Linked DNA regions of Sus scrofa. The protein of the gene in region 1 purifies or fractionates together with the protein of each later gene. This does not show direct contact. Links are inferred from orthologs where the notes say so. Each region holds a gene or a part of one and is shown in the gene's direction. Other genes may lie near its edges. The genes, in order: VASP and PFN1.

Evidence for each region.
Region 2: the proteins of VASP (region 1) and PFN1 purify together in Homo sapiens (affinity purification with western blotting; 3 studies listed by BioGRID and IntAct, with this or other methods). This does not show direct contact. The link is inferred for Sus scrofa from reciprocal best matches to the Homo sapiens genes VASP and PFN1.

Annotation. Positions count from the first base shown.
Region 1 is NC_010448.4:51,872,008-51,876,560, forward strand, and holds the start of VASP (vasodilator-stimulated phosphoprotein), read left to right. Parts: upstream 1-1,667; 5' UTR 1,668-1,991; coding exon of another isoform or gene 1,992-1,996; intron 1,997-2,767; exon of another isoform or gene 2,768-3,070; intron 3,071-3,377; exon of another isoform or gene 3,378-3,471; intron 3,472-4,553. UniProt on the Homo sapiens protein: Ena/VASP proteins are actin-associated proteins involved in a range of processes dependent on cytoskeleton remodeling and cell polarity such as axon guidance, lamellipodial and filopodial dynamics, platelet activation and cell migration.
Region 2 is NC_010454.4:51,960,900-51,965,489, forward strand, and holds the start of PFN1 (profilin-1), read left to right. Parts: upstream 1-1,742; 5' UTR 1,743-1,942; coding exon 1,943-2,074; intron 2,075-3,538; coding exon 3,539-3,731; intron 3,732-4,307; coding exon 4,308-4,405; 3' UTR 4,406-4,590. UniProt on the Homo sapiens protein: Binds to actin and affects the structure of the cytoskeleton. At high concentrations, profilin prevents the polymerization of actin, whereas it enhances it at low concentrations. By binding to PIP2, it inhibits the formation of IP3 and DG.

The DNA of each region.
Region 1 (4,553 bases):
GTGGGTTAAGGACCCAGCGCTATCATTGCTGTGGCTCTGGTTACTGCTGTGGCTTAGCTTCAATCCCTGGCCTGGAAACTTCCTCATGCTGCTGCCTGGGCCAGAAATGAAAAAAGAAAAAAAAAAGTTTGCTGACTCTAGTCCAGGTGGCCACACAGAAGTGACACCCCTTCCATTTCACAGATGGGAAAGCTGAGACCTAGAAAAGAGAAAGGACTTGCCGGCGGTCACACAGAACTGGGGTTCTCATGCAGTTGGGTACATGTGTGTTGAGCTGCTTTGCTGGGTTAGTAAGACCCAGAAAGCCATCAAGTTTGCCTCTGTCCACAAAGAACCCACAGCCTGAGGAAACACACCAAAACAACTGTATCCTACCGTAGATCGGGGTTCAAGGTCTCCCAGAGTGAAGTGGAAAAGGGAAGAGGATCACTCCATTCTTCAGAGAAGGTTTAACGACAGAGCACAGCCTAGAAATGACGTGAAGGTCAGGACGGCACCCAGGCAGCAGATTCAGCTTGGAAAAAGGCTGGGAAGGTTAACTTCCTCACCTCCTCGGCTCTGCCCTGAGCTGTTTGTTTTACACGCATACCTTGCACCCAGGCACCAGTGGAGTTTTAGGAGGCTCAGGCAAGAATGCTGAGCCCATACTTACAACCTGCCTCCAGACCTCAGTTTACCCATTTCGAAAAGTGGAACTGATGATTTCCCAGGCTCCCACACCAGCCTAGGGCATCTAACCCAGGCCAGGTGGCGCTCTACGGGAGGGGCATGACCGTGTTGGTGACGTCACGTGGGGCGGAGCCTGAGGGACCCGCTGCGGACGCCCGGGAAGGGTGTAGGGACTCAGCCCCAAGCTGGCGCGTGGGGGTGGGGGCTCGCGGGATCAGGCGCTAGGGAGAGTCCCCCCACCTCCGTGTCCTCGGATTGTTGGATGATCCCGCCATCATCCGCCGACGAAACTGAGTCACGGCGGGGAGTGCGTGGGGAGGGGGTCGTGGGCCTTATTCGCAGCGGGACCAGGAGTCCCATTCCCACTCAGGTCCTGCACCGCACCTCCCCTCCCCCCGCCCCCCCCCACACCCTGCGGCTGTGAGTCAGCGGCCAGCCGCGCCCCCTCGGCCCACTTCCTCCTCACCTTCCCTGGGCGGGCGCGGTGGGGGGGGCGGCAACGAAGGAGGTGGGGCCCCTCCTCACCCATCCCCCTCCTCGGAGGGGGGGGTGCACCCCTTAGTAGAGCTTCATAAACGGGCGGAGGAGAGAGACGTTGGGGGAGGTCCGAAGGTAGGATTTAAGGGAGAAAATTTGAATCTATGCTTAACCAGAGGGTCCTTCTCGCCCCCCACACTGAGTAGAATGTAAAGAAATGGAGAAGTCGATGGGGAGGGTGAGAAGAGATTGTGCCCCCACTGAGAGTCCCCAGAGAATTTCTATCATGAGAGAGAACTAAGGATGAAGGAAGGATCCCTTCCCCCCCAACAAGCTTGCCCCCCTAATTTGGGGGTGACTCCCCAGAGTGCATCGCTGTGCAATAACGTTGGGGAAGAGGGAAATAGCGGAAGTCTAAGGTTCCGCGTTGCCCTTTTAAGCACCCTCCACCCTCCAATCCCACAGCCTGGAGGTGTCCGCGGCCCCTTTAAGGCGCAGGGCATTGTGGGTGCGGGGAGTGGAATTTTGGAACGAAATGTAGCGAAGAGAAGTACAGTAGTAAGAGTAACATTGTAGCCGCCGCCAGCTGAGGGGGCGCGCCGGGGAGGGGACGCCGCACCCCCTTTCTGCCGCAAGGACCCCGGATCAGCTCCCCAAAGGGAGGAGGCGCCTGAGGATCCGCGCCGGCCCTGTCCACGTTCCCCCCAGGAAGCCGGACTCTATGGGGCGGGACCCTGGGGGAGACTGAGCAGAACCTGGAGCCAGCCCCGAACCCCTGAACCTCGAGCCAGGGGCGCCCCGGGAGCACCTACCCCGTGGGCGCTCCGCCCGCCAGCCGAGCAGCCATGAGGTGAGCCTCGAACTGCCTCTAGACCCTTCCCTGCCCGGCGCGGGATCCCGCCCCGCCTTTGTCCCCCTCCCCCCAGCTTGCTCCGGGCTGGAATTTAGGGACAGGGCACTGGGAGCCTCGAATTTGAGGCCGATCCCCCTTGGACGGGCTCCAAATATTGATCACTTTCCCTTGATTCCCAAGGCTCCGGGTGGTGCCGGTGAGGTTCTCCCGGGAGCCCTCAGATTTGGGGGCGCTCCGAGGACTCCCGAATTTTTAAAAGACTTTTTCGGAGGACTTCTAAGTTGTTAGGTACTCCCGGCCGGGAGGCTGGGATTTAGGCAGGGCTCAGACTCCCCCCAAATCTTAGCCGGCCCCAGGAGAGATTATGGGGGGGCCAGTTTGGAGGTCCCTGGGACCTGGAAGAGAGATTGAAACGAAGATCTTGGCTTTCGGGGTCCCTCTTTACATGGTGCCGGGAAACGTCTTCCCAAGAGGACTTTGCCCCTTAACTTCGAGGGCTCTTAACCCCCTAAATTTAGGGGTTCTCGTCCTCCTGTGGAGGAGGCTGGTGCGGACAGATCCACCGACCCAGATGCAGCCTCGAGGATCTGGTTCGGACTCCCCGCCGCTTCCCACTCACAATTTGCTTAAAACGGGCTGTGCCTAGGGCCGAGGGCGGCACCCCGGCCCCGTGCCAGAGGGGCAGCCCCTTTTCCCACCTGCGCGGGCCCTTGGGAGGGAGGGGGCGCGGCAGCTGGGGGAAGGGGGGCCTTTGTCTTCCTGACTCACCTGTCGAGACAGCTGGTGTGGGGGGCGGGCAAGGAGCGCCGTGGGCCGGCTGCTTTCCCCACCACAGCGCCTCCCCCTTCTCTCCACATCGCCCCCCCTTCCCCAGCGGTCCGGAGTTGTGCGGTTGTTGGAGGGGGCGTTGGGAAGCTTCAAGGTCATAGCCCTCTTCCCCTGGGAGCCGGGCTTCCCAAAGAGTTCTAGCTATCTTCCCAGGAATTTAATCCTGGGGACCGGGGGCCCAAGGCACCCAGGGATTTTGTCTTTCCTGGGCTTCGTTCAAAACTCCTGGGCTCACCTGAGGGCGGGGCCGGTGTTGGCTGGGGGACCCGACTAGGCCCCCCTATTCTCCCCTCCCCCTGGCCCCCCATAATCTCTCCCTTGAGCCTGACAATACTACCTCCCTTCCTCTACTCTCGCAGGGACTTCCTGCCCCAGAGCCCCCAGGTTGAGGGGGAGGCCCCGAGGACGGCTGGGGATTAACCCCCTGCTGCCCACATCCTCCCACTTCCCCCACATTCCCCGTACCCCTGCCCTCTCACATCAGGGTGGCATTGCTTTTTACGGCCATCAGAGAACCCCCATTCCCACGTTTGTTCCTTCTGCGGTAAAGGGATTGTTGGAAAATTTGGAGCAAGGGAGCACCCGCAGACCCGCACGAGACTTCCTGCCTAGCCTGCCCCTGCTCACAGCAACATCCCTTCAAGGTACGCCCCGAGGGGGCAGGTTTCGGGAGCCAGGCTCCGTTCCTTCACCTTCCTCCCCGGGGGACTCTCCTCTCCCCCAGCCCCCCAGCCCCGCCCCTTGCCTCCCCCCCCCCCCCGCCGCGTTTCCGGTCCCAGGCACCGTGGAAGGCGGATGGCGGATGTCCGAGTTAGTGCTGCCTCACTCACTGAGACCGTAAAAGGGCAGGAGCAATGTCTGGGCCTCCCGCCCCCCTCCCCCAGTCCCGGAGGCCCTCGCCCTCCCGCAAGGCCCCCGACTGCTGGCCTCGGCCAAACCTCCCACCTCCTGGGGGGTGGGCAGAAGTCGAGCCGAGGCCTGTCCCACCAGAGGGTTACTCCCACCTCGAGAGGGGTCTTCCCTGCCTGTGACCACACCCGACTTCCTGGGCCGGGCCCCTTCTCCCCCTGCCAGGATTCCAAAGGACCCATGCCCCTGTATGGGGGTGGGGGGCAGCTGGGGAAACTGAGGCTCAAAGAGAGAAAGACCTGGCCCAAGATCGCTCAGAAATTCCTAAGCACTACTGAGGAAGGGGAGGGGGCTGGGCTCCTCTGACTTCTGGCTGGTTTGGCTGGGGACAGTCTTGGGGGCAGTTGGAAGGGAGGATGTTGAGATGGAAAATTACAAGATACAGTTCTTTTTCTCTTGGTTTGACAAATATTTGTTGAGTGTCTGCTGTGTCCGGGATTCTGAGCTGGGATTCTGGGAAGGCTGGGAAGTGGGGCAGAGGTCTGAGAATCTCAGGGCAGAAGGGGCTCAAGAAAAACTTGGACCATTTTTTTCGTCTTCCAATACTTGTAATTATTATTATTATTTTAATTTATGTTTTTTTAAAAGTAAGAGACCATTTGATCAAGCATGTACTGTGTGCCAGGTACTGTACTAGGGTGCCTAGATTCAATTTGATCCTCCTAGCAGTTCTAAGAGATTGATACTATTATGACTGTCCCACCTCCCAGATGGGAAAGATTTGTAGTTTGGAAAGTTGTGTGTGCCTGGAGGTCTGGGGGGGTGGATCCCAAGGTTTATGGTTTAAGGGGCTGTAGACTAAAGGGGTGAAGGGAAG
Region 2 (4,590 bases), on another chromosome or scaffold:
GTCTCGGAATTTGGTGAATTTCTCCGCCTGGGCGTGTTGGGCGGGAGTGAAGTCTGTGCCGACTTGGGCTGCAAACCCAGCCGGGAGCGGAGGGCACGCTGGGGCTTGGGCCAGCAGGCTGGCCAGCCAAAGGGCGAGGGTCACCGGCGCCTCGGCTCGTCGCCCCTGATTCGGAGGTCCTTCCCGCAGGCGCCGGAGCGGCCAGCGCCTGGTGACTCACCCCCGGCCCTTTCCCGAGCTCTCCTCCCCACCCCGCCTGCCCTGCGGGGTCGGTCTCCCAGCCCCCACCCCAGGATCCCTACTCCCGTCTTCCATCTCACCCCCCCCTTATCTCTGGCCGCTCCCTCTCGGGAGATTTCCACCCTGGGGTAGGGGGTGCGGCAGGCCAGAGGTCAGGAGACGGCGGGCGGGGAGCGCCGCCACGTGCCCGCGTGCGGCCCCGCCCGGGCCGGCCAGTGACTCAGCCACGGCGGCTGTCGAGGAACCAGGCTCGGGGGGCGGCGGGTGCCTTTAGGGTTCGCAGCGGCCTCGGGAGCACCGCACCCCTCTGGGGGGGACGGGGAAGGTACGAAGCCCCTTCACGCCCGGGAGGCGCCCCTCCCCCGAGGGACCGGAAGCGGCCAAGCCCCTCAGCGGACCCGGCGGCCAGCCGGGGCTGGTTCACCTAAGCCGGGTCCTAACCCCACCCGCTTCCCAGCGGGCGGCGAACGAACTCTTCGCACACAATTTCTTAGCATAAGTTTTACTGAAAAAAGAAGAGGAAAAAGGCCCAGGGGGCCAGGGTAGAAGGGACTTTCCTCTTCTTGAAAAAGTTGCATGTTGAAACCCTAGTATTCTTCCGCCTTGAAAAATAGGCCCGCCCGCCGCGCCCCGCGGGCGCCGAGGCTCAGTGACCTCTGCAGAGACAGGGTAAGGGGGACGGACGGCGACCCAAACTGCTGACCGGGGCACAGTCATGGAGTGAGGCCTAAGGCTGGAGCTGATCCAGCGCGAGGGATAATCCCCGTGGAGTCGGGTGGGCTCCAGCGAGTGCAACTTATGCCGCCGTGCAGATGCTGAGGACAGAAGTGTCCCCGGTGGGCGCCTTCAACTTGGAAAATGGTCGGGGTATTTTGTCAAATTTCCCTTTACTGCCTTTATTTCTTGAATAAATAAAATCAAGAGTGCAGAAGCGGTAACGTGCGCGCCTCACCCCCGCCCCTTCCGCCCAGCAGCAGACACGTCCCCGGCCCGCCTTCCTTCGCTGGGGGTCCAATTCGGCCCGGCCCGGCGCGCCCCGGCGCGCGCCCGCGAAGCCGGCGGCCGGCCCTAACCGCCCCACGCGCTCTCGCTCTCTGCCCCGGCGCAGGCGCGGGCGCACGCGCTGCCGCCGCCTGCCGTTCCTCCCCCCGCAACCCCACAGCAGAGGTGGGGGAAGGGGGAGTCGTTCCGTTTAACCCTGAGTTCCCCGAACCCTCTTAATCTGCTAAATTTGCAGCTCGCTAGTTCTTTCTCCGTTCACTTTCCTTCCTCCCTCTGGCTCACTCTCTTTCCCTACACCAAAGTCTAATATTCTATGCAAATTGGCGCGAGCCCCAACTCTAACCCCCCCGCCTCCCATCCTTTCAGCGTCGGTTCCCATCGAACTCGGCAAATTTTGCAATAGGGGGAGGGATTTTTTAAATTGCATTTGCAAAGTTCGGTATCTGGGCAGGCGAGAAGGAGGAGGGAGGGGATGAGGAGTAGGCCCCGCCCCCACCGCCCTTTGCAAATAAAAATCTAGGGGGGTGGGGAGGAGCAGGAAGTGGCGGTGCGAGGGCTGCTGCACAGCTAGCAGAGCCGCGGTCCGGACGGCAGCGCGTGCCCCAAGCTCTCTGCCTTCCCCCGCCCGCCAGTCCGAGGCAGCCCGAGCCCAACCCGCGGCCCCAGCAGTAGCCCCGAGAGCAGCCCCAGTAGCAGCGCCATGGCCGGGTGGAACGCCTACATCGACAACCTCATGGCGGACGGGACCTGTCAGGACGCGGCCATCGTGGGCTATAAGGACTCGCCCTCCGTCTGGGCCGCCGTCCCCGGGAAAACCTTCGTCAACATCACGGTACTGCGAGGCCTGCGGGGTCTGGGGAACTGGCCGGGCTTGGACCCTGAGGGAGGGACTTGGGTGGGGGCGGGCACGCTCTGGAGAGCGCAGCGAAAAGCCGTGGTCGCTCCTGGCCCTGGAAGTGGCGCGAATGGTGGCTGCACGTGAGCCGGTCCGTCCCGGGGCCCCCCGAGTCGTACGTCCCGGGCGGCGGCGCCCGGCCAGCCCGCCGGCCCCGCTCTCCGAGACGGGGCGTTACATCCGGGGCACAGGGCGGGGAGGGGCGCGCCGCCCGGTGCGGCGGCCCACTTCCGTCTCCTCCAGGGCGGGGCGGGCACACGCTGCAGTTTCAACCCGGGATTGTGATTGAGAAGGGACTCGGGGACCCCTGGACCCTGAGCTCCACTTCCGCCCGCCTGCTCGCGCCCCCTCCACCATTGTTCCTCCTTATGCGGTGGGAGCCCGGCTCGCGTGGCCAAGGTCCCATGCCCGTCCTCTGCGCTCCCTGCCCCTCCCAGCTCCGTTAGAGAGGGCTAGGCCGCCTCACGCCCTCCGCCCCCCCGCAGTCGGCACGTTAGACTCAACATTCCTGTGAGACCGATCCCGGAAGTCCCCTCGCCCTCCCTTCCCGCCATCCGGCGGGGCCTGGAGCAGGGGAACTTTGTGAGAAGTTCTAGGACTGAATTATCAGTGAAGGAGTAAGGGATGACTTCTGCTGTCCCCTCACCACCTCCCCAGTCCACACTGCCCGGAAGTGGGGAGGGGGAGCGGAAGTTCGAAAGGGGGGGAAGGGGATTTCCGGGCGGGAGGGGACCGGATGTGGGGATTTGGGGTGTAAGGGGGAGGGGAGAGAGTTTCCCTGGGGTATCAAGACCCGAGAGCTGGCTTGCTGGGTCTAGCCCCAGGCCCCCTCCAAAAGTTTTTCAACTTTCCCGGAATGCCCCCAGACATCTTGCTTCCTCCTCTTAGAGCACAGATACCTGGACCTGAACTCAAGGTTACTTAGAGACCCAGGCGTCCGGGCCCCTAACAACTCCTGTAGAACCTTTGACCAAATAAGGGCAAAGTTGCTTCTCCTGCTTCGCCCGCCCCCTCCCTTCCCCTCTTCGCTTCTGCTTTTCCTGAAGGAGACTTCTGAGCATCCAAAGGCTCTCCAGTCCATTCCACTCCACTCTCCTCACTCCTTTTTGGCCCCCTTTATTTCCTGGGTTTGCTTTCCCAAGAAATGACATCTAAGTCTCCAGGGGAATATGTCGTCCCTTTCTGTTACCATTCTCCTAAGTTTGAGGATCATGATCTTTTTGTGCACGAACTTCCGACAGTCCTGAGTTGCTCAAATTTCACTGGTGTGTACAAAGCACATAACATACACCCCTCCCAGGGGGGTTAGCTTCCTGAAGAAATGGAAGGCAGGTGGGTCCTTGGAGAAGGTGGGAACCTTGGGGTACTGACTAACTTGATGGTGCTTGGTTCCCCTTCCAGCCAGCTGAGGTTGGTGTCCTGGTTGGCAAAGACCGGTCAAGTTTTTTCGTGAATGGGCTAACGCTTGGGGGCCAGAAATGCTCTGTGATCCGGGACTCACTGCTGCAGGACGGGGAATTTACCATGGATCTTCGTACCAAGAGCACTGGCGGAGCCCCCACCTTCAATATCACTGTCACCATGACTGCCAAGAGTGAGTTTCTGAGTTTTTTGCCCTTTCCCTAATGGACCTCCTTCTGCTAATCTTTCGGGTTTTCTTTGTGGATTCCCCAGTATGAAGGGATCAGGCCTGGGACGCTGGATTGTCCCTCTAGTTCTGTCTCAGTTCCTCATCTTAGAAAGAAGTTGAACTGTATTACCTCTTAAGTTCCTTCTTGCCTTGAGTCTTTTTAGCTGGGAAACTCTCTGGTTTTCTTGGAGGAGGTAGGCTGTTAGTTCTAAGTCGGCACTTGAGCTCTTGTCTTTGGGGCTCTTTGTTAAAACTTGGAGGTGGCAGGCTCATCCACAGCCATTTCTAGCCTGAACACATGAGTCAACTGTCTGCGAGCCTTTGACCCCTAAATTTTACTGTGTTCCTTTCCAGCCTTTAAGCTTGATTTTCCCCTTTTGAAAAGCCCTATTGTTTCAGGGTGACTGACAGCCTGCCTGTGTGTGGGGGGTTGGGAAAGATGAGGTTGGGTTACAGCCCCCAGGGCTGGACAGCTGCTGAACAGCTGGCGGGAGTGGGATTGTGACACCTGGGTCCTAGCCTCCTTTCTCTTTCCTCCAGCGCTAGTCCTGCTGATGGGCAAAGAAGGTGTCCACGGTGGTATGATCAACAAGAAATGTTATGAAATGGCTTCCCACCTGCGGCGTTCCCAGTACTGACCTCGTCTGTCCCTCCCCTTCACTCCCCACTGCTTTTGCACCCCTCTCCTTCCCACACACACACATCCACCATTTTTATTTTTTGGGCCATTACCCCACACCCCTTATTGCTGCCAAAACCACGTGGATTGGGGGCCAGGGCTGGATGGACAGACACCTCCCCCAACCCATACCCTTTCCTGTGT